4 linked regions of the Notamacropus eugenii genome follow. The protein of the gene in region 4 purifies or fractionates together with the protein of the main gene of each other region. This does not show direct contact. Links are inferred from orthologs where the notes say so. Each region holds a gene or a part of one and is shown on either strand. Other genes may lie near its edges. The genes, in order: GLI1, MYOD1, TAF6L and KAT2B.

What was found.
Region 1: the proteins of KAT2B (region 4) and GLI1 purify together in Homo sapiens (affinity purification with western blotting; 3 studies listed by BioGRID). This does not show direct contact. The link is inferred for Notamacropus eugenii from reciprocal best matches to the Homo sapiens genes KAT2B and GLI1.
Region 2: the proteins of KAT2B (region 4) and MYOD1 purify together in Homo sapiens (affinity purification with western blotting; 4 studies listed by BioGRID and IntAct, with this or other methods). This does not show direct contact. The link is inferred for Notamacropus eugenii from reciprocal best matches to the Homo sapiens genes KAT2B and MYOD1.
Region 3: the proteins of KAT2B (region 4) and TAF6L purify together in Homo sapiens (affinity purification with mass spectrometry; 5 studies listed by BioGRID and IntAct, counting the BioPlex papers as one, with this or other methods). This does not show direct contact. The link is inferred for Notamacropus eugenii from reciprocal best matches to the Homo sapiens genes KAT2B and TAF6L.

The regions. Positions count from the first base shown.
Region 1 is NC_092874.1:232,839,146-232,847,067, forward strand, and holds the start of GLI1 (zinc finger protein GLI1), read left to right. Parts: upstream 1-4,909; 5' UTR 4,910-5,125; intron 5,126-6,861; exon of another isoform or gene 6,862-7,176; intron 7,177-7,922. Other genes in the region: INHBE (inhibin beta E chain), read left to right, coding at 1,247-1,544, 1,781-2,535. UniProt on the Homo sapiens protein: Acts as a transcriptional activator. Binds to the DNA consensus sequence 5'-GACCACCCA-3'. Regulates the transcription of specific genes during normal development.
Region 2 is NC_092877.1:41,184,735-41,191,671, forward strand, and holds MYOD1 (myoblast determination protein 1), read left to right. Parts: upstream 1-3,937; 5' UTR 3,938-4,027; coding exon 4,028-4,648; intron 4,649-5,426; coding exon 5,427-5,505; intron 5,506-5,905; coding exon 5,906-6,171; 3' UTR 6,172-6,685; downstream 6,686-6,937. UniProt on the Homo sapiens protein: Acts as a transcriptional activator that promotes transcription of muscle-specific target genes and plays a role in muscle differentiation. Together with MYF5 and MYOG, co-occupies muscle-specific gene promoter core region during myogenesis.
Region 3 is NC_092873.1:15,843,231-15,851,150, forward strand, and holds the start of TAF6L (TAF6-like RNA polymerase II p300/CBP-associated factor-associated factor 65 kDa subunit 6L), read left to right. Parts: upstream 1-4,916; 5' UTR 4,917-5,000; intron 5,001-7,920. UniProt on the Homo sapiens protein: Functions as a component of the PCAF complex. The PCAF complex is capable of efficiently acetylating histones in a nucleosomal context. The PCAF complex could be considered as the human version of the yeast SAGA complex.
Region 4 is NC_092874.1:34,104,282-34,111,449, reverse strand, and holds the start of KAT2B (histone acetyltransferase KAT2B), read left to right. Parts: upstream 1-4,160; 5' UTR 4,161-4,175; coding exon 4,176-4,511; intron 4,512-7,168. UniProt on the Homo sapiens protein: Functions as a histone acetyltransferase (HAT) to promote transcriptional activation. Has significant histone acetyltransferase activity with core histones (H3 and H4), and also with nucleosome core particles.

The sequences.
Region 1 (7,922 bases), about 200 Mb from region 4:
CTTAAGTTGTTGGGGGGGGTCATAGTAGAGTGAGGGGAGATGGGCAGATGCTTATTCCTCTCCTACTAAGCCCATGCTGTCTAAAACTAGGAGGAAAATGATTGGCAGAGCTGGGCTCGGACCCCAGTTATTGCACTCCAAAGTTCCAGCCTCCCTTTCTCATACCCCAACCTAAAAACTGAGAGGTGTTAGCAAAGAGAGGCTGCTTTAGTACACTAACAAATCCAGGCTCTTCCCATCACCTTAAAAGAGGTTAGATCAAGTTGCAGTGCCCAGTTCAAGGCTGGGCACCAGGCCCTCCGAAGTGCCATGCCCTTCTGGCAGTCGTGATGGACTCTGCCCGAACTCCACAATTGCATCACCCTCCCCTGCCCCTACCTCTGGGTTTCCCCATTCATCCCACTAACACACCTCACCACCAGTTCTCTCCCTCCCCCACAATGTATTCACATCCAATTGGACTCTGAGCAGCCAGCACACATAGGGGACAAGGGGTGACTTCTAGGTACCCCGTGGCACCTGCCACCTAGGCCTGGCCTTGAGAGCTCTGTTGTTGCTGAACTTCCAGCCTTCAGGTTCAATGTTTGGGAGATGGAATCCTGGATTCCCTTTTTGGACAGGCCCCTCAAAGTAGGAGACACTGAAGTCTCAATAGTCTACTCTCTGTTAAGTTAAACTGCTGTAGAGGAAACTGGGAAAGCTCAAAGTGGAAGACATTGGAGACGACTGTATATAGGGGCCTTCGCTCCTTTACCTGGCTCACATGGCTCACATCACCCTCCCCCTTCCTCTCCCCTGGACCCTGGGATCGGAGTCTGTGAAATCATCCTCTTTCTTGCATCATTCCTGTCCACGTCTCCCCCCACCCCACCCCCACATACCCCTTCCCCAAGCCTGTCACCGCAGCCAGATTGGTGAAACATGAGCTCTGGAAAGGGTGGGGGATCCTCCACTCCCCCCCCACTAGGGACCTGATTGACAGAAGAACTGGCCAATCCTGGTGCTCAGAAGGTGGGTCTGCCCATTGACCACTAGGTGGGAGAGCCCCAGGCTACCAGCTCAAAAGAGGCCCTGGGTCAGTAAGCTGAGTGGATCGACCAGGCAGACAACTCTGAATACCCCACTTTTCATCAGTCAGATTTTTGTTTTGGGGTTTTTTTTTGTTTGTTTCCAGGGTACAAGAATAGGAGACATCTGACTCTCCTTTCTGCAGGGGGTAGGTTTCCCTAGGATAGACACAGGGAGAATGGGGTACCCAGATGCCTGGCTCCTACTGGTACTGCTATGGGCACTAGCAGGGGCTCAGAGATCAGGACCTCGGTGCCCATCATGTGGGTTACCCACACTAAAACCACAGGAAGAGAGGGCTCTAGTTCTGGAGCTGGCCAAGCAACAGATCTTAGAGGGGCTACAACTGACCAGCCGTCCAAGCATACCCCATCCTCCCCACCCTGCAGTCCTGGCCAGAGCCTTAAGGAGACTACAGTCTAAGAAGATGGCTCAGATGAACCAGCTGGAGACCATCAGTTTTGCAGCAGAAACAGGTGGGTGAAAGAGAGGAAAAGCAAATCAGGGAAAGACCCAAAGAGAGACAGAGACAAGAAGAATACAGCCAAAAGAGGGATGTGGTGGGAGAGGTGGGGTTGGAAGCTGATGTTCTGAGGACTTTATCTCTTAAGTTAGTATAGAAAAAAAGGAATCTGTCAGGATTTGACAAGAACTTCCACCCAAAGACCTAGGCCTCTCACATTATTCATGAACCACCACTATTTTTCCATAGGCTCTTCCTCCACTCCAGCCTGTGGATCTATCCTCAACTTCAACCTCTCCACTCCTTTGCACCTACGTCCATACCACATCCGTCTTTGGCTGCATCTGCATTCCACCCTAGCTGGTACCCCCTCCATACAAATCTTCCAGTGGGGTTTGGAGAAAGGGGTCCAGGGAAGTCAAACCCTGCTGGCTGAGCATGGAAAGACCACTCCAGGATGGAATGCCCTTACCCTGCCTTCTTGGGCACTGGAGGGCACTGGCTCTGGTGTTCTGAAATTCAAGCTGGTCTGCAGGCCTCATGTAGGCAATACCACAGCTGCCAGACACTTACTTCTGGATACAGCTGGACACCATCAACCCTTCCTGGTGATTAGGACCCAAGCCAGAGCACCTGGGGGGGACCGGGCCAAGAGGAGGGCCCCCACATGTGAACCTGGGAGCCTTCTATGCTGCAAGCGGGACCACTATGTAGACTTCCAGGAATTGGGCTGGAAAGATTGGATCTTGAAGCCTGAGGGGTACCAGCTAAATTATTGTAGTGGACAGTGCCCGCCTCACCTGGCTGGCAGCCCAGGCATTACTGCTTCTTTCCATTCTGCTGTCTTCAACCTTCTCAAAGCAAATAGTCCCTGGCCATCTGGCCCTTCTTGCTGTGTTCCCACAGCCCGTCGGCCACTCTCCCTCCTCTATCTTGACCAAAGTGGTAATGTAGTGAAGACCGATGTACCTGATATGGTAGTGGAAGCCTGTGGCTGCAGCTAGCAAGGAGGTTCAAAGGATTCAGAGCTAGAGAGAGTGTGAATAGTGTTGGTCCACTGAAGAAAGGGGTCAGCAGGTCAATGGCTGAGGCGGTTGAATTCCTGACATCCCCTCCCCAGGTGACCTGGCAGTGCGGCCCCATGGGCAAATCCTGATGAGTCCAACCTGGGACTTTAGAGTCCAGTTTCAGACTGGTTGGAGAATGGGGAGATGGGTAGGGCATTCCTCTGCTTGGTTCTTATTAGAAGAGGATTCCTACTCTGAACACTCCATAGAAGAGATGGTTAAGGGGTGGGGAGGGAGGGGTCAGAAAAGTTGCTCAGTGCCTTCTAAGAGAGATAGAACTTCCTGGCAAATCGATGAGAGGGTGGGGTAAATAGGGCATGGGAGAGTGTGGTATGGTGGAGGTACATGCTAGAAAAGGGGTTGGTGCTTTGTGGGAACTGCTAAGAGGGAGATGGGCCCAGGGAGAATATGGGATGAACTTAGATAGGAGCTTGGAGAAGCTGATGAGCCCCATAAAGGAACACCCTCTAGTTTTGCCAGAGGTGAGGTCCTGCTGGGGAGATGAACACATATTTATATTTTCCTAATAAAAATGAAAAGAAAAAAGTCACAGGTGTGTGTCTTGATACAGGGTTTAGGGGAAAACTCGAGGACTGGGATGTGGAGGGGGAGTGTGTTCTAATGGTAAAATGCTCCACAGGGCAAGGACATGTGGATGTGTCTGGAAAAGAACCACGTGCGGGTTTCTTTGTACCAAGTGACTATCAGTTGGACCAGGCTGATCTATGTCCCTGACCCTCTGGAAGTGGCTGGACATTTGGTCGATGCCAAGTGGGGGAGGGAGGTGGAAGATCTTACCCCTGGCTCCTCATCTCCTCTTGTTCCCTAGTAATTTAACATCTCATGTTAACATAACTCATGTTAACAACTCAGTGTTAACACAACATGCCCCCAACTTCTCACTAGCTCTACCTTTGTTCTTATGTTATTCCCCCAAACAAACCGTTGATCCACTGACCCTTCCTCTCCACTCCCCCAGAAGTACTTTGGAGGATGTTCCAAAATACAAGGAAGGGAGGAGAATGGTGACTTGAGGAGGATAAGAGAACTGGGCAAAATAATTAGAAAGGGGCATTCTCCAGTTTCCTGGTCATGACCTTGTTTCCCTCCCCTTAAAACCCCCCCTCACAAATCACTCTTCTCCCCTCCCCCATTACACATCAGAGACTGAAATAGCTGACCTTTCCCCTGCATCCTGTCACCATGGCATCAGGACATTGAGGGACAGGGGACAAGGGCAGTCTTCCTTCCAATACACAGAACCCTTTACTTATTTCTGACTGCTTTTCCCGAGTCCATGTATCCATTTATGTCCCCATCTCTCACTTTTTCTTGGTATACTCATACACCTTTGGCTCCCACAATACTGGCGTTGGGGAGTACAGAGAACTTCTTTCACTGTCCCTCCCTCCCAAGGTCCCCACTACCACCATAATCGTACCATCTCTGCCTTTAGACAGGTTCAATCTAAGAGAAGGTGATGTTCATCAGGGGGGCCAGCAGAGGGAGCAAGGAGCAGCGAAGAATGGGGAGGGGAAAGGTACAACCGCAGGATGGCTGACATCTCCAAAACCTATGGACACAGGAGAAGCAGGGCGGGAGGGTTGAAGAACAGCCGTGCTAGGGTTAAATATACCCAAACCGGGCCTTCCCAGCCCCGACCACGGACCCCCAAAGCTTCCAGCTTCCCTCTGTCTCTCTCGTTTACTGCTGCCTTTCAGTCTCCCATCCCCACGGTCCCACAGCCTCTGTCTGCTTTTCCTCTTCCATGGTTTTTAACACACTCAAGTCCTTGTCTTGCATTTTTGCTACCCCAGTCCTCGGGGTCCTTTACCCCATCCAGCTCCTGCATGGCCAGGTGAGGGTGGTAGTCACACCAGGGCAGAGAACTGAGATCTAGTTTTGCTTAAGAGCCCCTCCTCCCCACATTCCCACAAGTTTTCTCCAATTGGGACTGTATAGTCTTTCTTCCTCTAACTCTCAACTTGGTTTTTCTGTCTCCGGCCCATCTCTGTCACTGACAGACGATCCCGGAGATCCAGGCCGGGATTTTCCGCTAGCCCAGGACAGCGTGCTCAGTCCCAGAGCCTTAGTTGAGGGTTAGGAGATAGGGTACCTCTTAAAGAGGGGAGGATTCCAGGAGTCCAGGGGTGCAAGTTTGACATCCCCCTCTTTCCTTCCTGTAGCCCCCAAGCCTACTTCACCACAACTGCACGAGGGAGGGTAATGAGAAGGGAGGGGAGGAGTGAGTGGGACAGCGCGCCAACAGCGCTAGAAGGAAAAAAAGTTTTTGCAAAAAAGAAAAAAAGTTTGCGAGTCTTGCGGGTGGTCCAGGCTCCCGGCCCGGCAGGCGGGGCGGGGGGGCCGGGTTGGGGGGGCGGGGGCGGCACTGAGGCTGCGCCGCTGTGGCCCTGCCCGTCCCCCCTCCACCCCCCCAGCTCCCCACTGCACACCCCCCAGCCCCGACTCCAGCCCTGGACTGCGCATCCCGCGTCCCGAGCCCCGATGGAGGTGAGAAGGCCGCCAGGTCAGGGACCACCTGGGAGCCATGAGGGAGGGGATTAAGGAGAGGGGCACTGGTTTAAGAGGGATTCCCCGACACTCTCACCTCAAACCACCCACGCCGTGATAGAAATCTCGGGAACAGGGCAAAGTGTGGGGGGAGCTGTCTGGTGTGGAGAGATGAGAAAGTTTGTGGCTCTTCTGTCTTCCTCCGCTTCTGTCCCTTTCTGTTTCAGTCATCACTCTGTCTCTTTGTCTCTTGTCCGCATATATTAGAAATAATTCATATCATTCATTTGATAGGGATGGAGGGATCTTAGGTGGAAGGAATAGAGGTGGAAAGGAGTCTCAGGTGTCTCGGTACCCTGAATCCGACTGAATCTGAGGGCAGTGTCTTGGTTCCTCGTAACCCCAGAACTGCAGGGGTTGGGGATATGTGAAAAGAGGAAGAGTTTGTCTGAGTTTGTACCCCAGTCTGTTTATGAGACATGAATTTTTCTGTTTGGTTTGGGGTGGAGGTAATGTCTCCTGGATTGGGCAGCTAGAACAGTGGGGTTGTCCCTTTAGCTCCTAATGTCTGGTTTAGGCCCCAGACCTCTGGTGACCTTGATCCCTCGTTATTCCCAAAGGAACTCCTGGGTTTCAAAGTGTGGAGGTGGGGAGGGGTCGGGGAAGGGGAGAGAGGATCTCCGGGGAAACTCTCCCTCTACCCTCTGACCTCAGGACCACCAGGGCGCTGAAGATAAACCGGGGAGACCCCTGTGGGGCTGGACTTGGACCTATTCCTCATCCTTTCCGTCCAGTTCCCCGCCCAAAGAGGGCCTGGGGAATATAAAGCCCCCTCCTTCTACCCAGACCACCCTGCCTGCCCTGCAGCCTCTTTCAGGTCCCATGACCCCGAAACAATCTTTCAGCACGCAGCTGGCTCCTTGGTCCGGATTAGGGAAGGGGGGACAGAGGGCCCCGTAGGGGGCTGGAAGGAAGCGAAACTAGGGTTTTGGGGGGCGGATGGACTGGGGTCTCTACAGTGGAATGTGGAGCATAGGCCCCAGGGTCAGTACTCTTTAGCTGAAGAACGGGCCCAGGGGCAATTTTCCTGTGTGGGTGGGGAGAGGCGGCGGGTGGTTTTCTCCAAGAGGTGGGACTCGGCGCCCCCCACCAACGCTACCTTACGGTCCGGCATCCCCGCCAGGATGCCAAGCCCCGCCCCTTACGTCACTTGGGGGTTCCCGGGGGGGGAGGGCTTAACCCTTAGGACACCAACCCGGGATACCGAGGAGCTTGGGATTCCCTGCTCCCCCATATTTGATCCCACTCCTACAGTTATTCCTCCCATCTTCCTTTTCCTAGAATTTTAGGAGTTTCCTGTTCCCTCTCCTTTCTGAGTGAGGTCCCCATATCACCCCTTCCAGCTGACGAGATTTTCCACTTGCCACCGGACCCCCGGCTTCTATATTTAGACACCCCCACTGCAACCAGGGGCTCGCTGCCTGGTTTCTGGCGGAGGAGCTGCGAGGAGGGTGGAATGCGCCCCGCCCCTCAACGCCCTCCCTTTCCTCCTCCCCAACCCCCTCCCAGCCTGCTTGGCTGGGATCTCGGGGGGGGGGGGGGGGGGCAGGAGGGAGCGGAGCCGTCTGCAGCCAGAGTCGGGCGGCCTCAACTTGGGTGGGCCGAGGAGGGACTGAAGCTCTGGGAAGGCGGGTCCGGAGGAGGGGGCGGTGCTTACTCCCAAGGGTTGAGGGAAGGGGGTGGGAAATTAGGGACATCAAGGGAGTGGGGATCCGAAGCTCAGGAACCAATAAGTGCCCCGACCCTTCTTCGTCCAGGCAAACTTTGCTGAAGTTAAAAAAGTTGGGGAACTCTTCCCTACACCCATGTGAAGAGGGATACCCCAAGGGTGAAGGGAGAGGTACTCTCCATCTCCACATGGCTTCCAGTCCCAGGCAGAGGGCACCGAAAGAGGAATGACAACAGAATGGACGGGATACAGTTTTGGCAGGGAGGGCTGCTGTCTACAGTCTGGAGGGATGGGGTGCCGGGGGAGGGAGGAGCTGTGAAACTGCTTCCTTCAACCGGGTGAGTCACAGGGGGAGGAGTCAGGAAAAGAGCCCCCTACCCCACCCCATCCAGCTGCCAGCCAGCTGTGCCCACCACCCACTTCGACTGAATGCCAGGGTCAAGTGGGGGGTCTTGTAAGCAGAATTGGGGCTGGCAAGGGAGGGGTCATGGTCCGTAATGGATGGAGGGGGTCCAGGGCTGAGTTATGGGGTTCTTGCTCCCCGCCTCATCTTCCCCCTCCCTCAGCCTAAATCCTAACATCCCAGGATCACCCACCGCGACGCCTCTAGCTCCCCTTCCCACCCTACCACACCCCACCCTCATTCCCCGGGAGTCTGAGAAACGTGGAGTGGATTTCAAAGTGAACCGAAGCTGTGAGTGGAGCAGGCGAGGAAAATGGGTTCTCAATATATCTCTCTGTCTCTTGTCTCTTTCTCCCTCTCCCCGTCTCTGTCTCTCTCTTTCTCCCTCTCTTTTGCTCCCTCCCTCGCCTCTGTCTCTCCTTCTCCTTGTCCTTCTCTTTTATCTCTTTATCTCTCTTATCCCTTCTCCTCTCTTCTCTCAAACCCACAAGATGAAGGTTTGGAGGATGGGGGTGTAAAAGGCATCTTCTCCATTTCTCCCAGGCAGGCAGCACACTACCTAAGCAAAAACGCCTGTGGCTCCTCCCCTTTTTCCTTCACCGCTGCCTCCCGGCTGTGTCTGACTCCCCTGGGACTGTCTTCTCTGTCCCACTCCCTCCCACCACCCCAGAGGCGGTAGGG
Region 2 (6,937 bases), on a different chromosome or scaffold from region 4:
TAGTATCAGGAGGACATGGAGTTCTTGACCTGTGATCAACTATCAGTCAAAGAGATAGGACTTGCCCCCCCAAAAATCAGCCCATGCATTGTGAGGGAGAGTTAAGTAGAGGGAGGCTACCCTCATGTCCATGTCTCCCAAATTCTGTATATTATGAAATACCTCTAGGAGTCTAGTGTTTTCATCAAAGCGACTTCTTCGGTCAACTCTCACCATTTCTCCCCACTTTTTATGAGAGGAGATTGCTTTCCACAGAGACCTAGGGGTTACTGTGAGCAGGAGTGGCTCTGGAGACTTGGGTGCCCAAGAAGGCAGTTTGGCTGGCTTCTCTGGCTGGAGAGCCCCACTACCATCTTGGTAATGTTGTGGAAACATAGGAAGGCATTGAGCAATAAGGCTGGCGAGTATTCTTGAATGTTTCCTGAAGTCCATGTATGGGAGAGTTTCAGCTCTATCTTGTCATGTGGACAAGCATTTCTGGGTCTGCAGCAGCAGAACTGGGGGAAACCAAGAGAGCATTTGGAGGTATAGCTTTGACAGAAGTATAACTGACATCAATGCATTTTTAAGACAAAGTCAATTTAGCATGTGGGGAGGAGGAAACTCTGGAACACCTCAAGACTGATGGAGGGGACACCATTGGGGGAAAAGGAAGGGAGTGTTGGTAAGAGAGTTCACCTGGATGAGGCAACCAGGAAAAGAAATCACGCCACCTATTAGCTTCTGTCATAACTAATTATCCTTTATAACTAAGTGCCAAACTCAGTTGTTACTATCTTCTGAAAGAGTAAAAGAGCTGGAAGTGCCTTAAAAATTTTAGCATCCTAAGGCACAGCCCTGTCTGCCCCAACCTGGTTAGAACTCTGCGTCTCCCACCTTAGCTCTGTCTTAGGGTCTTTTCCTTCTCTCTTCAGGGCTCCCTGGTTTTCATTGCAGAGGCAGTCCTAGGGTTAAGCCTAGGTGAGTGTAATCAGGGTTTTCCAGACATAATGTTAATACTTCCAGGACTCCTAATTTCAGTAGTCTAGAGAATCTCCCAACCTATATAAATAGAAGTTCTTCTACACCTTTGTTAGTTTCTGTGGCTGCAAAATAATTCCTCCCCTGGTGGCCAACTTTCTGGTGATGAGTCTTTCCAAACTTACCTAGGCTGGTCTCTATATAGCAGACACAGTTTGTCATTAGACCTTTACTTGAACCCTTTCCCATTCTGTAGGACTTGCTGGAGTTTGTTCTCCAGAGACACAGTCTTAGAGAAGCCAGGCCTCAGTGGAACTTCAGAGGACTTTGGTGGAGGTTTCAGACATTGCAGAGAGGGAAGAAGAGAGTGACTTCCTCTTTGTATCTTTCCCAGACCCAGGACAACAAGCAGTAAAAACAAGAAGGACATTAGGAAATTCCCCTACTTTACTTCTGGGGATCTGAGGTCCCCACATTAAGCAAGGCAGAGTGGGGGGCATCAGAGGAGATGAGAAGAGGTTACAGAGACTGGGATTACAGGTAGCAAGAGGGAACACTAGACAAAAGGTTGGACTTGGTGTCAGGCAAATCTGAATTCAAATCTTGCCTTACACATTAGTTCTGTGACTCTGAGCAAGTCAAGTTCTCTCAGCCTTGGTTTTCTCATATGTAAAATGGGGATAATAATGGCACATTATTATCTTAGCACTGAAATGAATCCATTTACCAACCTCTTAACTTCACAGATGAGGAAATAGAAACCCAGAAGGAGATTGGCTTGCCTAAAACCACTGGCAGTTTTGAGTTGGCTCTTTAGAATCAAGTTAGAATAGGTTCTAACCCTAACCCTAAATGTGCTCCTATTCTAAAAGTTTGAGGCTGGCAGAGGAAGATCCCAATTTTCCTCCTTTCCCCCAAATGTTGTGCCTTCCTCCACTGAGTCTCTTTTGTCATTTATTTTGGGGATGGAGTGCTGGGTTCAGGAACAAACCAATGACTTTGGTCTGACAATAATCTGGGAAATTACTAGGGAAAACAATGCAGTTTCCCACCTTTCCCAGCTTCAGAGGATATAGAGGAAATATTAGAGATCATCTAGTCCAGGGATTCTTAGCTTTAAAAAAATCATGGACCCCTCTGGCATTCTTGGACCCCTTTTGGAAATAATGTTTTTAAATACATTAAACAGAATTCATAGGATTAAAAAGGAAACCAATTTAATACCAATATATTTTAAAATATTGGGATATTTTATAACAAGTTATAGAACCTTTGATTCTAATTTAATTCTTTTATATTACAAAAAAACAAACTGAGGCCCAGAGAGGAGTCAACTTGTCCAAATCCATATACCTGTATGTAACAAGGCTGTCATTTGAACTTACATTTCTTGATTCCAAGTTTAGCACTGCCCCCAGCACTCCCTACCTTAATGAGGTAGAGGCCTCCGAGATGGGTACAGAGACTGAGGATCCAGTCTTTCTTAATAGAGACATAAGGACACTCCTAGGCCATCTGCCTACATCTTTGGACTTGAGGTATGCCAATCTTTCCCAGGTCCCACCAACTACAAGAGGTAAGGATAGGGGCTTGACTCACCTGCTGCTTTGAGGTCTGACCTTTGTATTCCCATCGATTAACACAGTGCCTGGCACAGAAGAGGGACTTGTCTGCCCTTTGCCCACTGTCCCCTTATTTCAGAGAACCAGGGTCTGAGGGCCAGAAGTAAATGAGAGTGAAGTCCTCTCTCAGGCTCCATTGCCACCTTTTCCTGCCTCCCTAGGGCAACGGTCTCTTTGCTCCTCTGTAACGGGGGTAACGTAAAAGGTGTAACTTCATCAGGAGATCAGTCCTATCTCCCCCTACATGCAGGCGACCTCCAGGGAAGCTGCAGAAATATTCTCCAAGCAACTCTCCCCTGCCCACCCACGTCCCTTTTCTATCCCCGCCCCTGCCTCAGATTTACAGCTGCAAAGAACTTTTTCCTTCTTGTTCCAGAAACTGTTTTATCGTTAGTGTAATAAGGACGTTCTGGTGAGGAAACTGCTCGCTACCAGTAAAGATAGACAGATTGATCGGCAGCTCAGGCAGGTGACAGGGACCGAAAAGGTTAGCAAATGTGCTTAGGGGACACGGGGCAGAGAAGGGATGTGAACCCAGCAAAGCTACGCCCAGCTGCCGCTCTAAAAAGGCACCGTAGGGACCTTTATTACTACACACCCTCCGCACCGATTTTACAAATGGGTCACCTGAGGCCCAGAGAAGAAGGGACATGCCCAAAGGTCCCAGCTAATAAGCAAAACTGAAACCCACGTCTCCCATGCCGACCCTTGGAGACCCGAGGGAATCAGAACCCCCTGGGGGAGGTGGTACCAGGACCCACAGCAACTGAAAAAAGTTAAAGGCATGGCCCAGCGCAGCGCGCTGGGGGTTGGGGAGGAGGGGGTACTCAGCGCAGGGAGCTGAGGCTGGGACGCCGAGCCAAACTGGGCTGACTCTTGGGCAGTGTGTGGTAGAGTGTGTGGTAGGGGAGGGAGAGACGGAGGGGAGGGGAAGTCTTTCAGCCTAGGCTCCGGGACACTCCTCTCTCCTCCCCTTTGGGTCTCTTCTTTCCCAAATCCTCGGACCCATCGGTCTCCGCCCCCCATCCCAGACCGCTTTCATTGGCTCAGGGAGTCCCCCGCTACCCCCCTTCCAGGGCTGCCCCCTCCCAGAGCCCAGCTCTGGGTCCTGGGCTCTGAATAAATAGCCTCGAGCGCCAGCGGCTGGAGCAAGGGGTAGGGGGAGCCCCACATGTGCATCGGAGGGAGCCAGCTCTTTCCCGATAGTGTGGAAGGGAGGTAGGGCAGGGTGGGGTGGGTGGGGGGCTATTTCGCAGCTTCTTTTCAGGGCACGTCCTTAGGCTAGGGTGCGGATCCCTTTCCCTCTGGTTTCGACTGAAAGAAGCTTCGCAGGGTCTCGAAACTTTAGGGGGCTGTGGTTCTAATTGCCGTCGGGCTGGAAAACGGGGTAGGAAGACACAAAGCAGTTCACAGAAGGCAGCTTTCCCCGAATCCCTTGCAGGACCATGGAGTTGCTGCCCCCGCCCCTGCGGGATATGGATTTAGCAGGGCCGGACAGCTCCCTCTGCTCCTTTACCACGGCTGACGACTTTTACGATGACCCCTGCTTTGACTCCCCCGACCTGCGCTTCTTCGAGGACCTGGACCCACGCCTGGTGCACGTGGGCGCGCTCCTAAAGCCTGACGAGCACTCCCACCATCCCGCAGCGGTCCCGGGCTCCCGGGAGGATGAGCACGTGCGGGCTCCCAGCGGTCACCACCAGGCTGGCCGCTGCCTTCTGTGGGCTTGTAAGGCGTGCAAACGCAAGACGACCAATGCTGACCGGCGCAAGGCGGCCACGATGCGGGAGCGGCGCCGTCTGAGCAAGGTGAATGAAGCCTTTGAGACCCTGAAGCGGTGCACGTCGAGTAATCCCAACCAGCGACTGCCCAAGGTGGAGATCCTGCGGAACGCCATCCGGTACATAGAGGGCCTTCAGGCACTGCTTAGAGACCAGGACGGGGCAGCCCCTGGCAGCACCGCTGCCTTCTACCCTCAGGGGGCCACTGCCCAAGCCCGCGTGGTTGAGCATTACAGCGGAGATTCGGATGCATCCAGCCCTCGTTCCAACTGCTCCGACGGCATGGTGAGCTGGTGGGGCCAGAACAAGTATGGCCAGTGGGCAGGGCTGGAGGGAGAGGAAGGGGACAGTAGAATGATGGGAAGGATTGTGGAACGAAAATTACAGCATTAGGTCTAAAAGGAGGCGGATAAACTCCCATCCCCAGCTATGAATTGGTACCCAGGTGTCTGGGGCAATCTTTCTGTGGTTGCCACAGGAGAGGAACCATTGGATGGGGATGGGCTGGCCGGGTAGGGGAGAAAACTTGCCTTTATGGACAAAAGAAACTTTTTGGTTGAAAAGTTGTTAGAAATTATGTAGTTCAGCTATCTTATTTAAGAAATAAGAATTTGCCCAAATCACACAGAAATTTTGTGTTGGAGCTGGGGGTGGGATATTTCTAGACTACGCCAGTTGACAGAGGCAGGGAGGAAGGAGTCTGGCTTACAGAGAGAATGGAGCTAGGTTCAGATCCTTATTCTATTGCTTAACTTAGCTGTGTGACCTTGGACAAGTCACTTATCACTTTCCTCATCTGTGTAATGAAGGGGTAGGGCTAGGTGGTCTCCAACGTGCCTGCTAGGCATACATCAATGCTCCTATGAATTACCTGAGCTCTCATCTCTAGGAAACACACAAGACCCTCTGCAGCAGGAAATTTGGGGCAGTTCCTGGGGTCTTAGGAAGGAAGGAAAGAGGGGATATCTGTTTCTTTGAAGCCTTGGGGTGAACTGGATGTGATGAGGGCAGGGGCTGGGAGGAGGAGCAGGACCTGACTCAGGATCTACTCTCTTGTCTCCAGATGGATTATAATGGCCCCCTTTGCAGCACCAGGCATAGAGGTGGCTATGACAGCAGCTACTACAGTGATTCTCCAAGTGGTGGGTATCAAGGGCATTCTGCCCCAGCCCAAGCCCCTGAGTCTCTACACACAATATATGAAATTCACTGTCCATCCAGGTGTACCTATGTCTGAACTCCTGCCAACAGAGAGGGGAGGACCATAATTCAGTGTACTTTTGGTGGGATTAACCCACCCTTTTATTGGGTTCTGGTTCAATTTCCTCATTTTAGAGAGGAAAAAAACCACAAAGTCTAGGGAGTTTAAGGAACTGATCCAATAGCAAGTCACTGGGAATGCCTGAGCCTCTGCCATCTTGGTAGCATGGTACAGAGAAGCAGTGGTTTGTATATAGGAAAAAGATATCTGAGCTCCCCAGGATCCCATCCTTGGACTTCAGAATTTATCACTCATCCCTAATTTCTGTCATTTTTTTTTAGACACCAAGACTGGGAAAGGACTGGTTGTGTCCAGCCTGGACTGCCTCTCCAGCATTGTACAGCGCATCTCCACTGAGGGTTCTACATGCCCTGTGCTGCCTTTGGGAGAGGGCACACCCTGCTCCCCCCAGGAGGCCACCACTCTGAGTGACAGTGGTGCCCACATTCCCTCCCCTGTCCCCAGTGGGAGTACCCAGCTTTCTGCTGACAGCACCTCTGGGCCTAGTCCTGTACCCAATCCTAACCCTATCTACCAGGTCCTCTGAGGTGGGACCAAACCTCCTTCTCCCCCGCTTCCTGTGGCTCCAGCGGGGGTCAGACTAGACTTTGGGAGGGGGCCCATCTTATTCAAGTCTAAGGCTTCTGAGGATTCCTTGGAATGTGCTTCTGTCTCTTCCTCCCTTCCCTAAAACATTAATTTATTGGTTTCCGAGTGCCTGGCCGGGGCTTAGGGGGACAGGTTCCTGGTCCCAGGTCCCTGGTCCCCTTCCCCACCCCCCTCAGGAAGGAACGGCTGTGCTTGTTCTTGAGGGGCTGCGCCCCCTCCACACTTCTTCCATGCTCCCCAGTTCAGGACCACATTTTGTAATACTTTTGTAATCTATTCTGTAAATAAGGGCTTGCTTTGCGAACACATGCATACACACACACACACACACACACACACACAACCCAGCGACATATTTATCAGGTGTGGTTTGTGGTGCAGTCATTGACTATTTATACACTAGGGCGGTGTTGTCTCTGCTCAGGTGTGCTGAATAAAGATGATAATTTATACCTGCCGGCTCTGCCTTTTAATGATAGCTAACATAAAACGCTCTAAGGTTTTCTGAGCATTACTTCATGCCAGGTCTGTGAGGTAGGTACTATATTGTACCTACATTTTACAGATGAAAAGATTGAGCTCTCTAAGTGAAGTGACTTGCCCATGTTCACACAGTCAAGGAAGGAGAAAAACAGAATTTGAACAGACTTAAGTCCTGACTCCAAGTTCAGCTCTCTATCTACTTCCCCAACCTTCAACAAGAG
Region 3 (7,920 bases), on a different chromosome or scaffold from region 4:
TTCCTTGCTGGCTGCTGTGTGTCCCTGTGGAAGGGCCCTGCCAGGTGTCTTCCATCTGTCCCAAAGCAGCACTCATACCAGCACCAGGATGTGGAGGAGGTGCCTGGCAAAGGGCAACCCTCCCATCTGCTTTGCCTGTCTTTTGAGGGAACAGGAGTGGATGACAAACATGCTTGCACCTGGTCACACCTCTCATGTCCCAGCGATTCTGAACATATCATCTTCCAAAGCCCAAACTACCTCCCCCCACCTTATCCTCCTTCTTCCCCTTGACCTCTGTCCAGCCATCCATGATGCTTCCCTTCATCTTAATCCTTCCCTCTCCCAGTTCTTCATGCGAGCTGGCTTCCACAGCCTTCCTGGCCACCTTTCCAAGACCAGCTGCTCCTCCACTCATCTGCAGCTCACTGGTCAAGATCTTCCTTAAACTTGTTGAAGTCATTCTTTGTCTGTTCCCTGTGCATCATCCACATCATACGAATTCATGTGGATCTTCCCAAGCTTCTCACCTCTTCATCACTTCTCAGGTGTGATGGCATCATTTGTAGGCCATATTTTGTTTACCCACACCCAATGAATGGGCATCTCTCAGCTTCCAATTCCTTGCCACCACAGAAAGAGCTGCTATAAATATATTTGTATCCGTGGGTCCTTTTCTTCTTTCTTAGATCTCTTTGGGGCTATTGACCTCAATAGAGCCTTAATGTCTTTCAAGGGGCCTTAAGGGAATTCAGTAAGAACAACAAGAAATCTTGGAACTGGAATGGATTTGTTCTAAGGGTCTAAAGAGGGGAAAGAAAAGGGAGTGTCAAAGGAGGGATTCACTCAGAGAAAAAAGAAAGGATATATTGCTATAATTGGGGGAAGTGAAACCAAGAATCAACAGGGATAGAGTGAGTAGGCATCAGGGATACTGGTAAGAGTTTGGTACAGACACCAAGATCCTCTGAGAAACAAGTGGGAGGCATCAGAGAGGAGATGGGATACTGGGAAAAGAAGAGTCACAGGCAAAAAAATGTCCTGATCCTGGAGATGGGACTGAAAAGGGAAGAAAAACTAACTGGCCCTCAAGGGGATTCCTTAGATCATCTCTGAGACAACAAGGGGTTGTCTGGACCAACTGAAACATGAATGGAATGGAATCTATTGGGCTAAAAGAAATGACAGAAAATTCTGGATTTTTGGAACTGCCAGAACAATGTATACAATGACAACCACACTAAAGAAAACCACCTGAACCCCGAAGACTTTGCTCAGTGCAATGTTACGTCTCCGGAGGCCTTGTGATAAATAGGATACCCTCTCCTGACGAAGAGGGGAGGGACACAGACATAGAATGAAGCATATGTTAAGGGAGGATATTTGACTTGGCGGTTCTTTGTTTAAAAAGGGTTTGTTTTTCTTCCTCTTTCTCTTGGCTCTTAACTAGGTGGTATAATGGGGGGAAGGGTACCCAACTATGGAGATGCTAAAAGGAGAGGAGCATTGTAACTTTTTTAAAAAATTCACAACAGAAAACTCAAGGATGTTCAGAAGGGAACACAAGTCAACAGGTCGTTTTCAAAATGAATGTGTAGAACTGATGATATGCTTCTTCCATAGCCAGCATTATGAAATAGATTCACAGGTTCACACTGAAGCCTCTTTTTGTATTCTGCTGTATGTATGAAAATGTACTTTATTGGGGTTCAAATTCAAAGTCAAATTTTTAAAAAGGATACTTGCTAACATGGTTCTTTGAGTGGTGTGAGGAGAGGAACAGTGGAAAATGTAGGTGATATAAAAAACAAAAGATATAATGATATATATTGTAATATTCAAACATCTTTCAAACTGAGGTCCCCGACCCCCAAACCTTTCCAGTCTTCTTATACCTTATAGTATTCTTTGATCCAGTGACACCAACCTCCTTCCATGCCCAAAAGCTACCTTTTTTTCCTTTGGGTTTACTGGCTACATTTCTTGCTCAAAGATCAAACCTTAAACCCAATTCACTCTGGAACTCACAGGCTGGACAAGTCCCCAAACCCACCTAGCACAGGGTGAATGTAATTACTGTTTCTCTTTTATGCAGGAACCCTGAGGGTCCTTCCCTCCCAGTTTGATTTTTTTTTTTTATTAAAGAGGCCATCTCTTTAGTAACTACTTAAAGAAACCTATTCATTGAATGGGTGTATCTACTCAAAGTGAGAACGTGGTAAGACCTTAGCCTGAAAGGGCCAAGGTCTCACATTGCATCCTGGTCCATCTCCAATCAGGCCACTGGACCTAAATGGCTCAAGAGAAGAAAGTCAGGTTGGTGACCTTGCACAGTCCTCCCTCACTTAAATCAAAGCCAACTGCAAGTCATATCATCAACTTGATGTCATGGTCCTCTTTGAGAACGGAAAGCAAACACAACAACAACCAACCTCCTAGTTATTCCTCATCCAGAAACTCCATTTTCAATCCCTCTGAATTCTAGTCTTCCATCTGTTGGATATTTCCTATTTAACCTATATAAAGCTTGTTTGTCAATATTGTTTATATGTTGTCTCCTCCATTAGATTTTAAACTCTCTGAGGACAGGGACTGTCTTTGCCTTTCTTTGTATCTCCAGCACTTAAGACTTCATTTTAATTTACAAATCTGAGACTCTACTGTGTCCTTTCCACAACACCACCTTCTACCTATGAACCCTTTCCTTTATCCTTTATCCTGGTAATACTCATTTCTTCCTAAACTTAGCCCGTGGCTTACCTACCATTCCTCAGGTTGCCTTGTGCCACTTGTAAGCTACTAAACACTGCTGAGGGACTCAGGTAACTAGGGCCTCCACTGGACAGATTTTTAATTCTTTTCTATTGGACTCTTATCACACTCTCTACAGTAACTGGTCCAAACATTCTCTTCTCAAATCAACAAAAATACAGCCTTCTGTCCCCTCCCTCTCAAGGCAAGCTTCTTTGCCTCTTGCTTGCCTGAGAAACTAGAAAGTGACTGCAAAGACCTTTTTCCTATTCCACACCGAAAAGGCCTTCTATGTTTTCCCTCACTCTTGTGATAGTGTCTAAGGACACCACCCCTTCCCATCATCTCCAGGCCCTGGTCTCTCAGATCCTTCTTCATATTTCATCTCTCCTTATGTATTGCCTCCTTCCCTGCAGCCTACAGCCATGCCTACATCCTTAAGATGCCTTCACAGGTCGAGGCCATTCCCCAAGGTATCGTCCAATTTGTCTTTTTTCATTCACAGCTAAATTTCTAGAAAAAATCCTCAGCCTCTTGCAGTCAGGATTCATGCTCCACGATTCCACTGAAAATGCTCTTCAAAGGCTACCAGAGAGACTTTCCAGAAATACATAAAATTTTATACCAGCAAAACAGAACCTTCTAGGGAGGTTGAAGAGTCTCTGAAAATGTAAAAAACAGAAACCAACAACAAAAGAAAAAAAGGTGTAAAATGATACACTCTCAGAGAGAAACTAAGTCATAATGAACTGCCAAAGGAAAAAAATTATTAGTTCGGATAGGATTTACAAGTAGTTCATACCTATGCCACAGACGTTGTTCTAAAAAATGAAAAAAAAAAAGCCCTTATCAAAGTCCTTCTTTGAGGCAATACGACAGATACCCCTTTTAGGAAGAGGAGAGAACTGTAAGGGGGGGAGGGATATAAGGATGGGATGTGTAGATATCCTCACTGGCAGTTCCTCCTGCCCTCCTTATAGTACAGTTCGTTTTCATTTAATGAAGACCCATGCAAGATTTTAAATAAATATTAAGGGTAGGAACTGAGGCTGGACTCCATTTCAATCTGGATGTCCAGTACACACCTTAAACTCAACATGTCCAAAATCAAACTCATCATCTTTTCCCCTAAACACTCCTCCTCCCCTCCATTACTGTAGAGAGCAATACTCCCCTCCCAGTTCCTCAAGGCTCACAACTTAGGGGTCATCCTGGACTCTCTCTTCCCAACCTAGACACCCCTGTAGCCCAACTGAAGCCAAGGCCTGTCAATTTCACCTTTGCAACATCTCTTGTAGATTTCACCTCTGAAGAATCTTTCTTATAGGCCCCCTCCTCTCCTCTGACCCTGCCCCACCCTATCACAGATCCTCATCCCTTCACACCTAGGCTACTCCAATAGTCACTTGGGGGGAGATGCCCCCTTTCTCAAGTCTGTCCCCCCTCCAGCCTATCCTCCATTCAGCCACCAATGGGATCTCCCTAACGGGTAGCTCTGACCACATCACCCCCTCTTCAATAAACTCCAGCGCCTCCCTACGGCCTCCAGCATGAAATACAAAATGCTGCTTGGCCTTCAAAACCCCTCCGGCCGAGCCCCCTCCTCCTTTTCCGGTCTGCTTTCTCTCTGCAGCAAGAGACGCTCCCCCTCTGTGCTCCGCCCCTCCCCCCAGGCCTGGACCACTCTCCTCCCTCTGCTCTGACCTCCCAGGCTTCCTTAAGTCCCAACTAAAATCCCTCCTCCTCCAGGAAGCCTTCTGTGTAGATCCCTACACCTTCGTTTGCACGCTGTCCGTCCCTGCGACCGCCCCCCCCCCCCCCCGCACCCCGGGACGTGAGCTCTTTGAGGGCACCCTGCCAGACACACAGCAGTAACAATCACCGAATTGCACTGAACTAGAAAGGCGAGGTCCCGGGGCGGGGAAAGGGCTGCAGGAGGGTAAAAACAGCCTTCTAAAAAGTGAGCACATGGGCGGGCTGAATTTAGGGTGGATCTGGATTAACCCTAGCGAGGCCAACGGCGGCCGGGAGGATTTGGCCCCTCCGGGAAGAAAGTCCGGAAGAAAACCGCAGAGGGCCCTTTAAGGGGCTGGCGTCACGTGACACTTCCCGGCAACATGGCTCTTTCCCTGTGAACATGTCCTGAGGCGGGGCTTGGGAGCGCCGCCCGCGGATTGGCCGGGAGCGGGGGAGGGCGGGGCCGGCCTCAGTGCGAGGGAATTGAGACTAGGCGAGGGAGCCGGAGCCGGAGCCGCCGCTGCCGCTCTGGGGTAAGTCTCGCCGGGGCCGCGCCGCGCTCAGCGCGGGGCCTCCGAACTTGGTCGGGCCGGGGTCTCACCACCTCCCTCACCTCCGCTGGGGACCACAGGCCTTGGGAGTATTGACCTCGTCTGGCTCCGCCTCCTGACCCTGGGGTCAGAGGTTTCGGCTCGGCCGCCGGCGCCTTTCGTGGGCTCAGCTTGAGAATTGGGCGGGACCTCCGAGGTCATCATCTCCACGCCTCTTATTTTACAGATGGGGAAACTGAGGCCCAGGCAGTTGAAAGGACTTACCCGTGGCCGCCAGGGGGCGTCACGATGCACAGAGCGCTCGGCCGGGAGTCAGGAAGAACTGAGTTCGAGCCTCAGACCCTGGCAGCCAGGCCATCCTGGCCGATCGCTTCATCCGTCCCTGCCTCAGTTTCCTCGCTTGTGAAATGGGGATCATTGGGGGAGGCTCCAAGGAGCTGCCGTCTGGGGTCCACGGGTGGATTCGAACCCAGGCCCTCCCTCCAGTGGCCTAGGCACGGCTGACTTGCAGCCTGCCTGAGAATGAATGGGGTGTCCCAGTGGACCCCAAGCTGACCCGGAGTTTGGCCAGGAGGATTGTGGGGGGCGGGGTCCCAGCCTTGGCTCCGATCCCACTCGGGACCAAGAGAGACTGTACAGAAAAGATCAGACCAGGCGTGGGCAAGGGTGCAGAAACCATTTCTACTTAGTTAATTGTTCCTAGGTGCTCAGCCTCTCATGGGTGTGGGTAGCTGGGCATCATCCCCTGGCCTAGGGAACATCCTAGAGGGTCATTGTGGGGGTCAGGACCCTTCCAGCCTTCCTCCCCCCTCCCCATATGAGCCCGCCCAAAGGGAAGGGGCTGCTCGTGGCCTGCGTGGGGGGCGGTGGTGTCCCAGGAACTGCTTGTCCAGGGAAGATTTGTCCCCACTTCTTTTCCTGGGAAGATTGTCACTAATGCCCCAGTGCAGCCTTTCCACCAGTGCAGGCCTACACCTCCTTGGGAGCCTGAGAAATTAAGCTACTTGCCCTGACTCACCTGGGCAGCCAGGCGTGTTAAGCGCCTCCCCTGCACCAGGGACTGTGATAAGCACTGGGGATATAGAAAGAGGCTGGAGACAGGCCCTGCCCTCAAGGCAGAGGAAGCCAGGGAGGTCAGTGGGCACCCAAGTGGCGCAGTGGATAGGGTCTGCAGTCAGGAATTCCTGCCTCAGATACGTACTAACTGTATGACCCTGGATAAGTCACTTCACCCTGTTTACCTCAGTTTCCTCACCTGTAAAATGAGCTGGAGAAGAATGTGGCAAACAAAGACCCCAAAGGGTCAGACATGATTAGCCCACAAAAGGAAGTCAGTGGTCAGAACAGATGAGGAGAAGCCTTGGAGCCATGGGGGCAGTGAGAGAAAAGGAGCTGAGAGATGGAGTGGAGGCTGGGCTCCCCAGATCATGGAGAATGTGGAGGAAATCAGGTATATAAGTCCAGAAGGGCAGGAGGGGGCAGGTTAGGAAGGGCTTTGAAGGCCAAATTGAGCATTTGTATTTGATCCTGGAGGCCATAGGGCGCTATCATGGTTTACTGAGTAGGGCGTAACATGGTCAGACCTGGGTCTTAGGAAAATCCCTTTGGTGGCTGAATGGAAGATGGGCTGGAGTGGGGAGAGGCTTGAGGCAGGCAGACCCTCCCCACCACACTCTGCTCCCACCCCAGCTGCTATTGCAGTGCCACTGTGAGGTGATGAGGTTCTACACCAGGGTGGGGGCAGTCAGGGGAGAGAAGGGAGTAGATTTGAGAGATGTTGGAAAGATGACATGTTGAGCATGGTGGGTGAGAGAGAGTGGGGTCCAAGATGACCTCTGAGTTGTGGGAGGGAGGCTTGCAGGGAAGATAAGATGTCTACTGGACATCCAGGTTGAGACACTGGAAGATTGCATCGTGGCCTGGAGGAGGATTCAGCAAAGGAGACAAAGAAGGGACAATCGGAAGGGGAGGAGGAGACTGGGGGTGGGGGTGGGGTTTCAGAACACCCAGAGAGAAGACATGTCTAGGAGGAGGGTCGTCCATGGCCACAGTGAAGTCAAGAAGAATGAGGGCTGAGAAAAGGTCATTGGCAATGAGATCACCCCTTGGAGAGAGCAGCTTTGGTGGAGGAAAGGTGACAGACTGTGGAAAGGAAGGGAAACTGAGGCATGGGTGGTTGCCACTTCTGCCGGCAGCCTCTGAAGCCAGGTGCTCCTGGCCCCCAGGGCTGGCTCTCTGACCACTCTGACCTACCTACTATATCCTGGAATAATGGTCAGGTCAGGGCCTGGACCTTTGAACCCTTGATGAACCAGAGCTGTCTCCTTTGCATTTTTAGAGAGTACTCTAAGTGTCCGCTGCCAGGATTTGTCAGAGGTGGGCTCAGAGCCGAGGCTCCCTGACTCTTTTCTCCAAGAAGATGTCCTCATGGTAATCAACATTTAGGCATCTCAAGATTTGCAAATGCTATGTGTTGGAGGTGTCTGACAAGACTCCCAGAGTGCTACCTGAACCAGATTGAAATGTTATTTTACACAATCAGTACAAATCTAAGACTGCAGCATTACCCAGTTAAGACACTCTGCTCCATTGGCGGTTGGCCTCCATGCTTGATGGGCTGCTGGTCATCTATGCGGACTTAGAGGAGTTTCTCCAGACCTTGTGATCCCCAGCTGAGGGTCAGAGAGGTCACGTACTTACCAGACGGATAGACTGCCTGACTTCCCCATGCAGGACAAGGAAGGAAATGACTGAAACAGGATTCACATCCAGGCCTCTCAGACTCCTAAATCAGGGTTTCTTCCCTTGTGCTGCTCTGCTTTCTGTATTAAGCCAGCATCATTCAGTCAACTAAAAGTATTGAATTCCTAGGGTACTGTCCTCTCTAAGGGTTAAAATAAGG
Region 4 (7,168 bases):
TATATTCCGAGAGCCCGACATCACATATAATAAATGCTTTTTGAATTGAATTTGGAAAAACAAACAGTTTTTTATCCCATTCAGTGTTAATGTTGCCAGTTTCCATATTGAGGCTATCTGTATGTGATTCAATGATTGAAAGAAAGAAAGAAGAAAGAAGTAGAGGCCATTGTACCAGGTATGCAAATGATATTGCATTCTCCTAGGATCCAGATATCCAGGGCTAAGGTTCTTTTCATATGGAAACAGCCTTTATTGGGAGGGGATTTAATTATTGTGTGGTACTTCCAGTGTGAAAACTCCCTCTACCTCAGAGAAGTGATAAATGATCAATAATTTATAGTCAAAGATAATGACTGGAGGAGAGAGGGAGGCCTGAGAATTTGTGCAACTCTGCCTCACTTAAATCGAATTTACGCATGAATTGAAAGACATCGCCATACCATGCTGGAGCATTGACAAGTTGGTGACTTGTTCATGACCACACAGCTAATATCTGTCACAGGAAGAATTTGAACTTGTCTTTCTGACTCAAAGGCTAATTCTCTGCTGTGCTGTGGCAGGGGTACTTATCTATTGCTCTCTGGGTATATTCATATTATCTATACTTCATGTCAAAGAATAATTTTTGAACTGGATTCACTTGGAATTCTGACCGCTGTTTCCTAAATGTGTGAACTTGGGGGAGGCTCAACTTCTCAAAGCATCAATAGTCTTCATATGTAACAAAAAGGTTGGACCAGAGAATTTTGTAAGATTTCCCCAGCTCTTTTTGCTATGGTCCCATTATAAAGATGGAGAAATGCTTCTCTCCCTGGGTTGGCATTTGTTTGGCAGCTCTGGCCCATCAGAAGCTGATCCTCTCCTACCTAAGGGCTCACACCTCATTCCTACTCATGTTCTCTTTCTTTCAGCAACACTGATAAATAGGAAACATCAGTTTCTTACAATCAGAGATAAGAAGCAGGTCTGGAGCTCAAATCGTGCCTCTGAATTTTCCTATTTTTGTGACCTTGGGCAAATCACTTAACCTCTCAGTTTTCTCATCTATAAACTGGAGGGTTGGATGGAATGACCTTTAAGGGTCCCCAGCTCTAGCTCTGTGCTCCTATGTTGTTGTTTAGTTATTTCTGATTCTTCGTGACCCTGTGGACCACACTGTCCTTGGGCTTTTCTTGGCAGGGATATTGGAGTGGTTTCTTATTTTCTTTTCTAGTTGATTAAGGTAAACAGAGGTCAAATGACTTGCCCAGGGTCACATAGCTAGTTATCGCCCGAGGCTGGATTTGAATTCACGTGTTTCTAACTCCAGGCCCAGCGCTCTATCAATTGAGCACCTATCAGCCTCCACGTGTTCCTTATATAAGAAGATACAAATTCTTTTGCTTGGAATGAAAAGCCTTTTGTAAGCCGTTTCTAGCCTATCTTTCTGCACTGATTTCCCATCACTTGCCCTCAAAAACTCTATAGTCCCATCCTATTTTCTCACACAGAATATTCTATCTCCTGCTTTTGAACAGGCTATTCCCAAAACCCGGAATGCACTGCCTCTTCACCTCTGCCAGTAGGAATTAATACCACTCCCAGCCTAGCTCAAGTGCTAGGCCTCCCACTCAGATAAAGCTTGAGGTCTTTTCTGATCCCAGACCAGGCTACTTTGTCCTCTTCCCATTGTAAGCTCTTTGGAAAGCCCCAAATAGCCTCCATATTTATGATCAACACCTTAGCACAATGCATAAGTAGCGCGTGCTTAAAACATGTTTATTGAATCAAATGGGGAAAAAACCTGGGCTTTGAAGTCACTGGACCTGGCCTCAGCTCTGACTACAACTCATTACCTGTGACCTTGGGCAAGTGTCTTAGCATTTCTGGGCCTTAGTATCAGCATCCAGAAAATGGGGATGGGGCAGGGTTGGACAATGACAACTTCCAGCTCTCAACCAATGCCCTCAATATAGAGGCTAGAGGCTTTTATCACCTGGCAACTCCCTAAATGCTACTTATGGACTGATGATGATGAGGGAGAGAAGCTGCACCCTGTATCTTCAGCCCCTAATACGTTTCCTACATGCCTTGGATTGCAGGCATTTGCCCTCCGATCACGTGTCATTCTGAGGCTGCGAGATATGTCAAAATGAAAATCCATTTTCAGCTGTCAGAAATCATTCACCATCCAAACATAATGACTTTCAGGGTGGATTGAAATGGGCTTGTTGAGCTTTAGCTACTCTCTATCTTGGAAGCAGGCTGCCTCTCAAACTTTCTCTGTGGCTTCTAGCCTCAAACATGCATACTGACTTTGGTCAGGTGTAGGGTGAGTCAATACTGTAGTGATTTTGGAGTGGTCTGGCCATATCCCTGATAGGAGGAAGTCTTACTCCATGTGTGAGCTGAAGAATTTCATATGGCCAGTGCAGAGAATGACAAGAACACGCCAATAGCCTTCAGTACCGCAGTAAGTTGGTTAACATTGAAAAGTAAAGTGTTGTACATCAGCCAGGAAATAGAACCTTGAACTTTTCATAACATCTTATATTATGCATTCTAATTGGCAGCAATTTTATACTACCTTTTAAAAGTTGGGGTGGAAGGTATTTCCTTTTCTATTAAAACAATCTTTTTTTTTTTAAAGCTCTTTAAAAAAGAACAATAAGAGTTAGGGATGGAAAAGGATAGTAAGCTGAAATGGGAAAGTTGGTGGTCTTTCCAGAGTTAAGACTCACTAGTCTCCTCATCTATAAAATGGAAACAATAATAGCACCCACCTCCCAGGGTTGTTGAGAGGATATGATGGAAATACTTGCAAAGCGCACTACAAACCTTAAATCACCACATTAATACTAGCTATAATTCTCAAGGAATGCAAAGAATCTGCTAAAATATTCATATAAATTCCCTGTCCTACACTATGTGCTTGTAAAAGATCCAGAGAAATAATGAGTAGTTTTAAAAGTAAATTGGAAAGGCAAGTCGGAAAGAAACCGGCTCACCTGCAAAGTCAATAAAATGTCCCAGTTCCATCTAATTAATGAAGGGCCATTAAAACTCGTTTCAAAAACTGTCTCCATCCCAAATGAATCGTGAGCCCTTGAAGATCAGACAGCGAGGGTTTAGCGAAAAGGTCACCGGATAAAAACGGACACAGAGAAGTTGTAGTCGTGGCTCTGCGCCTGACTTTGCTGTGTGTCCTTGGGCGGGTGGTTTGCCCTCTCTGGGCTCTTTAGTCGGGAGGGTCGCCCACGTCCCTCCTGACGGACAGGCTCTGAAAGGTTATTTTTTAATCTACGTTCCACTAAGTCTTTAGCTCTGCGTTCTATGTGGCGCTGTCAAGGCCACTTCAGACAGGCACTGGGACAAAAAGACCAACTTTTTTCGTGTAAAGTGCACTTTTCCTTCTGTTGGCACAGTTTAGGAACAGCCGAGGAAGTTTTCGTAGCCTTCCTACAAGAAGCGCGGGGCGGGCAAGCTGGCGCCCGGAGGAGCCACCCGGCTGTGCGGTGCCCCCGACCCGGCGCAAGATGCCCGGCCCGCTCGGGGTGCGTGTGTGCGGGGAGAGGCGCCGCCGGGCACCCAGCTCGGCCCGCGGGGCGAAGCCTCCGGCAGGTGCCCGGGGATGCCAGCTCCGGCTCCTGCCTCGCCCCGCCACCCTTCCGCTCCCCGCCCAGCCCCGCCCCCATCGCGGGCGCTCGGGGACCCAGGGAGACCCGGGTCGTCTCCGCGGGGAGCGGAAGAGGAGCCGCGGCCGGAGCCTCGGGCTGACCCCCGCGCGCACGCTCCGGGGCCCGGGGCCGAGCATGTCCCCGGCAGCGGCGGCGGCTGCGGGGCGCTGGCGCGGAGCCCAGTAGGGCCCCGGGGAGGAGACCCCGGGGAAGGCGGCCGCGGGGCCGCTAGCGCCCTCCCTCCCGGGGCAGCGGCGGCGGCGGCGGCGGCCGGGCCCGGAGCCAAAGGGGAGCGCAGCGGAGCCGCGCAGCGCAGGGCGCGGGGGAGGAGGGAGGGCGGGAGGGAGAGGGGGAGGGGAACTCCGAGGGGGAGGGAGCGGAGCGGGAGGCCAGGCCCCGAGGGGGAGGGTCCCTCTCGCCCTCCCCGAGCCCACAGGCGCCCAGGGAGACCCTGGCGGCGGCGGCGGCCACCAGCACTCTCCGCCTCCTGCTCCTGCCGGGCTCCGCGGCGGTGGCATGTCCGAGGCCGGCGGGGCCGCGCCGGCCGGGGGCGGGGGCGGCGGGGCCGGGGGGCAGCAGCCGCCGCCGCCCCCTCCCCCCCAGCCGCCGCCGCCGGCGCCCCTGCCCCCTCCGCCGCCGCCCCCGCAGGGCTCCCCGGCCGCCGCCGCTCCCGCCGCGGCCGCCCCCGGCCCCGGCCCCGGCCCCGCCGCCTCCTCCGGGCCGGCCGCCGCCGAGAGCCCGGGGGCGGGCAGCGGCGCCTCCACGGCCCGGATCGCGGTGAAGAAGGCGCAGCTCCGCTCCGCTCCCCGGGCCAAGAAACTGGAGAAACTCGGCGTGTACTCCGCCTGCAAGGTAGCGTCCGCGTCCGCCCCGGGCGGGAGCTGCCCTGCCCCGCCCTGCCCCCCCCCCGGGCGATGGCGGGGCCCGCACCCGGGCCCTCCCCTCCCCCCGCTGCCCCGCGGCAGGACCGCTCCGGGTGGGTCGGAGCCGAGCCCTGCGTGGTGCGTGCGTGTGTGTGGTGTGTGCGGTGTGTGCGGTGTGTGTGTGTGTGTGTGTGTGTGTGTGTGTGTGTGTGTGTGTGTGTGTGCGCGCGTGCACGGCGCGGGGGGGGGGGGCAGAAGCCGAAGCCCGCGGCGATGTTTGCTGGGGGGGGGGGGGGGAATGACGACTGGCCGCCCCAGGGGTGGGCGGTGTAGACAGTGGCCCGGCCGAGCGGCCGCGCCGTGCGCTCCTGCCCTGCTCCTCCGGGCGGGGAGCCGCTGCCAGCCTGGGGGGCTCGGGGGCTGGGTAGCGGGATGCCAGCGCACCTTAGCTTTGCATTAGGGTGGGTTTGCTTTGTAGACCCTTGGGCGTGTTGATAAGCTTGGCTTGGCTGGAACAAGTCGCTTCCCTCCTCCTGTGTTTGCCCCCTTTCTCGAGGGCGCCACACCACGCCCCTGTGGATGGTCCGGGACCTGCCCTGCCCCCTCCATCCAGATGTGGCCCGGGGTAGGGATCGTAGTCCCAGAGCTGCTGGAGGCCCGTGGCCCTTGGCACCGTCGTCTTTGTTTTGACAGGGTGACAGCTGAAGGAGGCGGGCCTGTGGCTGCAGGTGGGGGTGGGGGGAGGGTGTTCTGGTTAATCACTCCCATGCCTGGTACTTGGGAGCCAGAGGCCAGTTTCCTAGAATGGCCCGGGCTGGTGGTGGGATGGTAGGGCTGGGTCCTCCCAAGAACACAGTTGTTAATCTTAATGATAACCCAGGCATATTTTAAGTATTCACAGAACAACCTTAATTTGAGAGGCTAGCCGTCTCTCTTCCCCAACTGCATGGTAAACATAGTCAAGAGTTGGGATTCTGGGAGTTTAAAGTCCTCCGATGTCCGAGTTCAGCTGTCTTGGACCAATCTTCTCTCCCCAGTTTACCCTGCCCTCCTGCCAAACTGTGCTGGGCATCACTCTCTGTCTTCTCTTTCCAGTTCGTTATTTCAGTCTCCTGTTTTGAAGACTTTGATCACTTCTCCTCACGCTGAAAGTCAGTCTGAAACTTTAAATTCCACTGTGTGTGCCAGGTTTTGAAAGACCTGGGTTCAGGTCTTGAATTTGCTAGTTATTATTAATCAACAAGCAATTGCCTACTTTGTGCAGCTTCACTGGATAGTCATGGAATCTCCGTGGCCCTTATTAACAAATATGAAAAATATGCGAGTTGGACTAGATGATCTAAGGCCCTTACCCCACTAAAAACTCAGGAATTTAAGAACCTGGGATCTGTAGCTGCAAAAATAATAATAATAATAATAATAATAATAATAATAATAATAATAATAATAATAATCCACCTTGATTAGGGGGCTTCCAGAGCAGAGCTGCTTCCTCTCTGGCTCTTTTTCTGCCTAGGACTTTTTTCAGGGAAGAAAACTAGTGTAGTGGGCAGTCAAGATAGGTTGAAAACCATTGGAGGGATTGAGAGCTGTGTGAATACATCATTCAATTCAGATTGTACTTAAGAGAGTTTTAGGTACAATCTTAACTGAAATGGAATCTTAATCCAGTTGAAGCTTGAATCTTAGTTCAAACTGTTAGGAGCACCCACTTACTGTGTTCCAGGGACTGTTTTGGTGCTAGCAATAAAAAGCAAACACAAACAACTCAGCAGTTCGTAAAGCCTGTCTTCCAGAAGCCTCCAGTCTCAAACATTGCCAGTGAGGATAGAAATGCCAGCCATGTCAAGTTAGACTGTAAGGGAGATGCACAAAAGAACCAAGAGAATTTATAAGGGCTTCTCTCATTCTTATAATTCAGCATTCTCACGAATGCCCTTGATTTGTCCAGCATATAGAAAAGGGTCATTTATTGTACTTCTTAAAAAGATTCTAATTCTCCTCTAAGTGCCACTGCTTACAAAGGACAGAAGGGACAGCTTAGAACCCATTAAAATACCAGCCCCTTAGGCAGTCTGGAAAGAAAAGCAATCAAGAATGGGGAATTGGAGGAGCAGGGGAGGAGACCCATCAAAGACTCCTGAAAGAGAGATACTTTTATTTTCCTCTTTAGGCTCAAATGAAGGCAAAACAAGGCACTGATTTTAGCCTGTAGTCTGCTTTTTCCTCCCCTCAGAAGAAGGGTAGCCTACCATATCTCTCCTAGAAAAAAGAAACTAACCTGCTTTGCAGGGTACCGGTAGAATTCTTTTGAATGGTGTCTTGGCAAAGATCTCCAGACCTTCACCCTAGTTCTTCTCCAGCTTTGTGAATTGGTCAACTCTCTACCCCAAGCTACTAGTAGAAGAGATCTAGGTCAGTGATAGTGTACCAAATTTGGGACAACTTGAGAAGTGATACCTTAGAGGGAAGTAGTTGGGAAATTTTGACTTAAATTTTTTGAGAGTGAACCAGGCAAAACACATTTAAAGTTTGGTGCCTCTAGTTTTTAGAATAGTCATTTCTGGATATACTCAAATCCCACCCCTAACTTTTTCCCCTTTCCTTAAAAAAAAAAATAACATCTATAAGGAACTCCAATGGGCA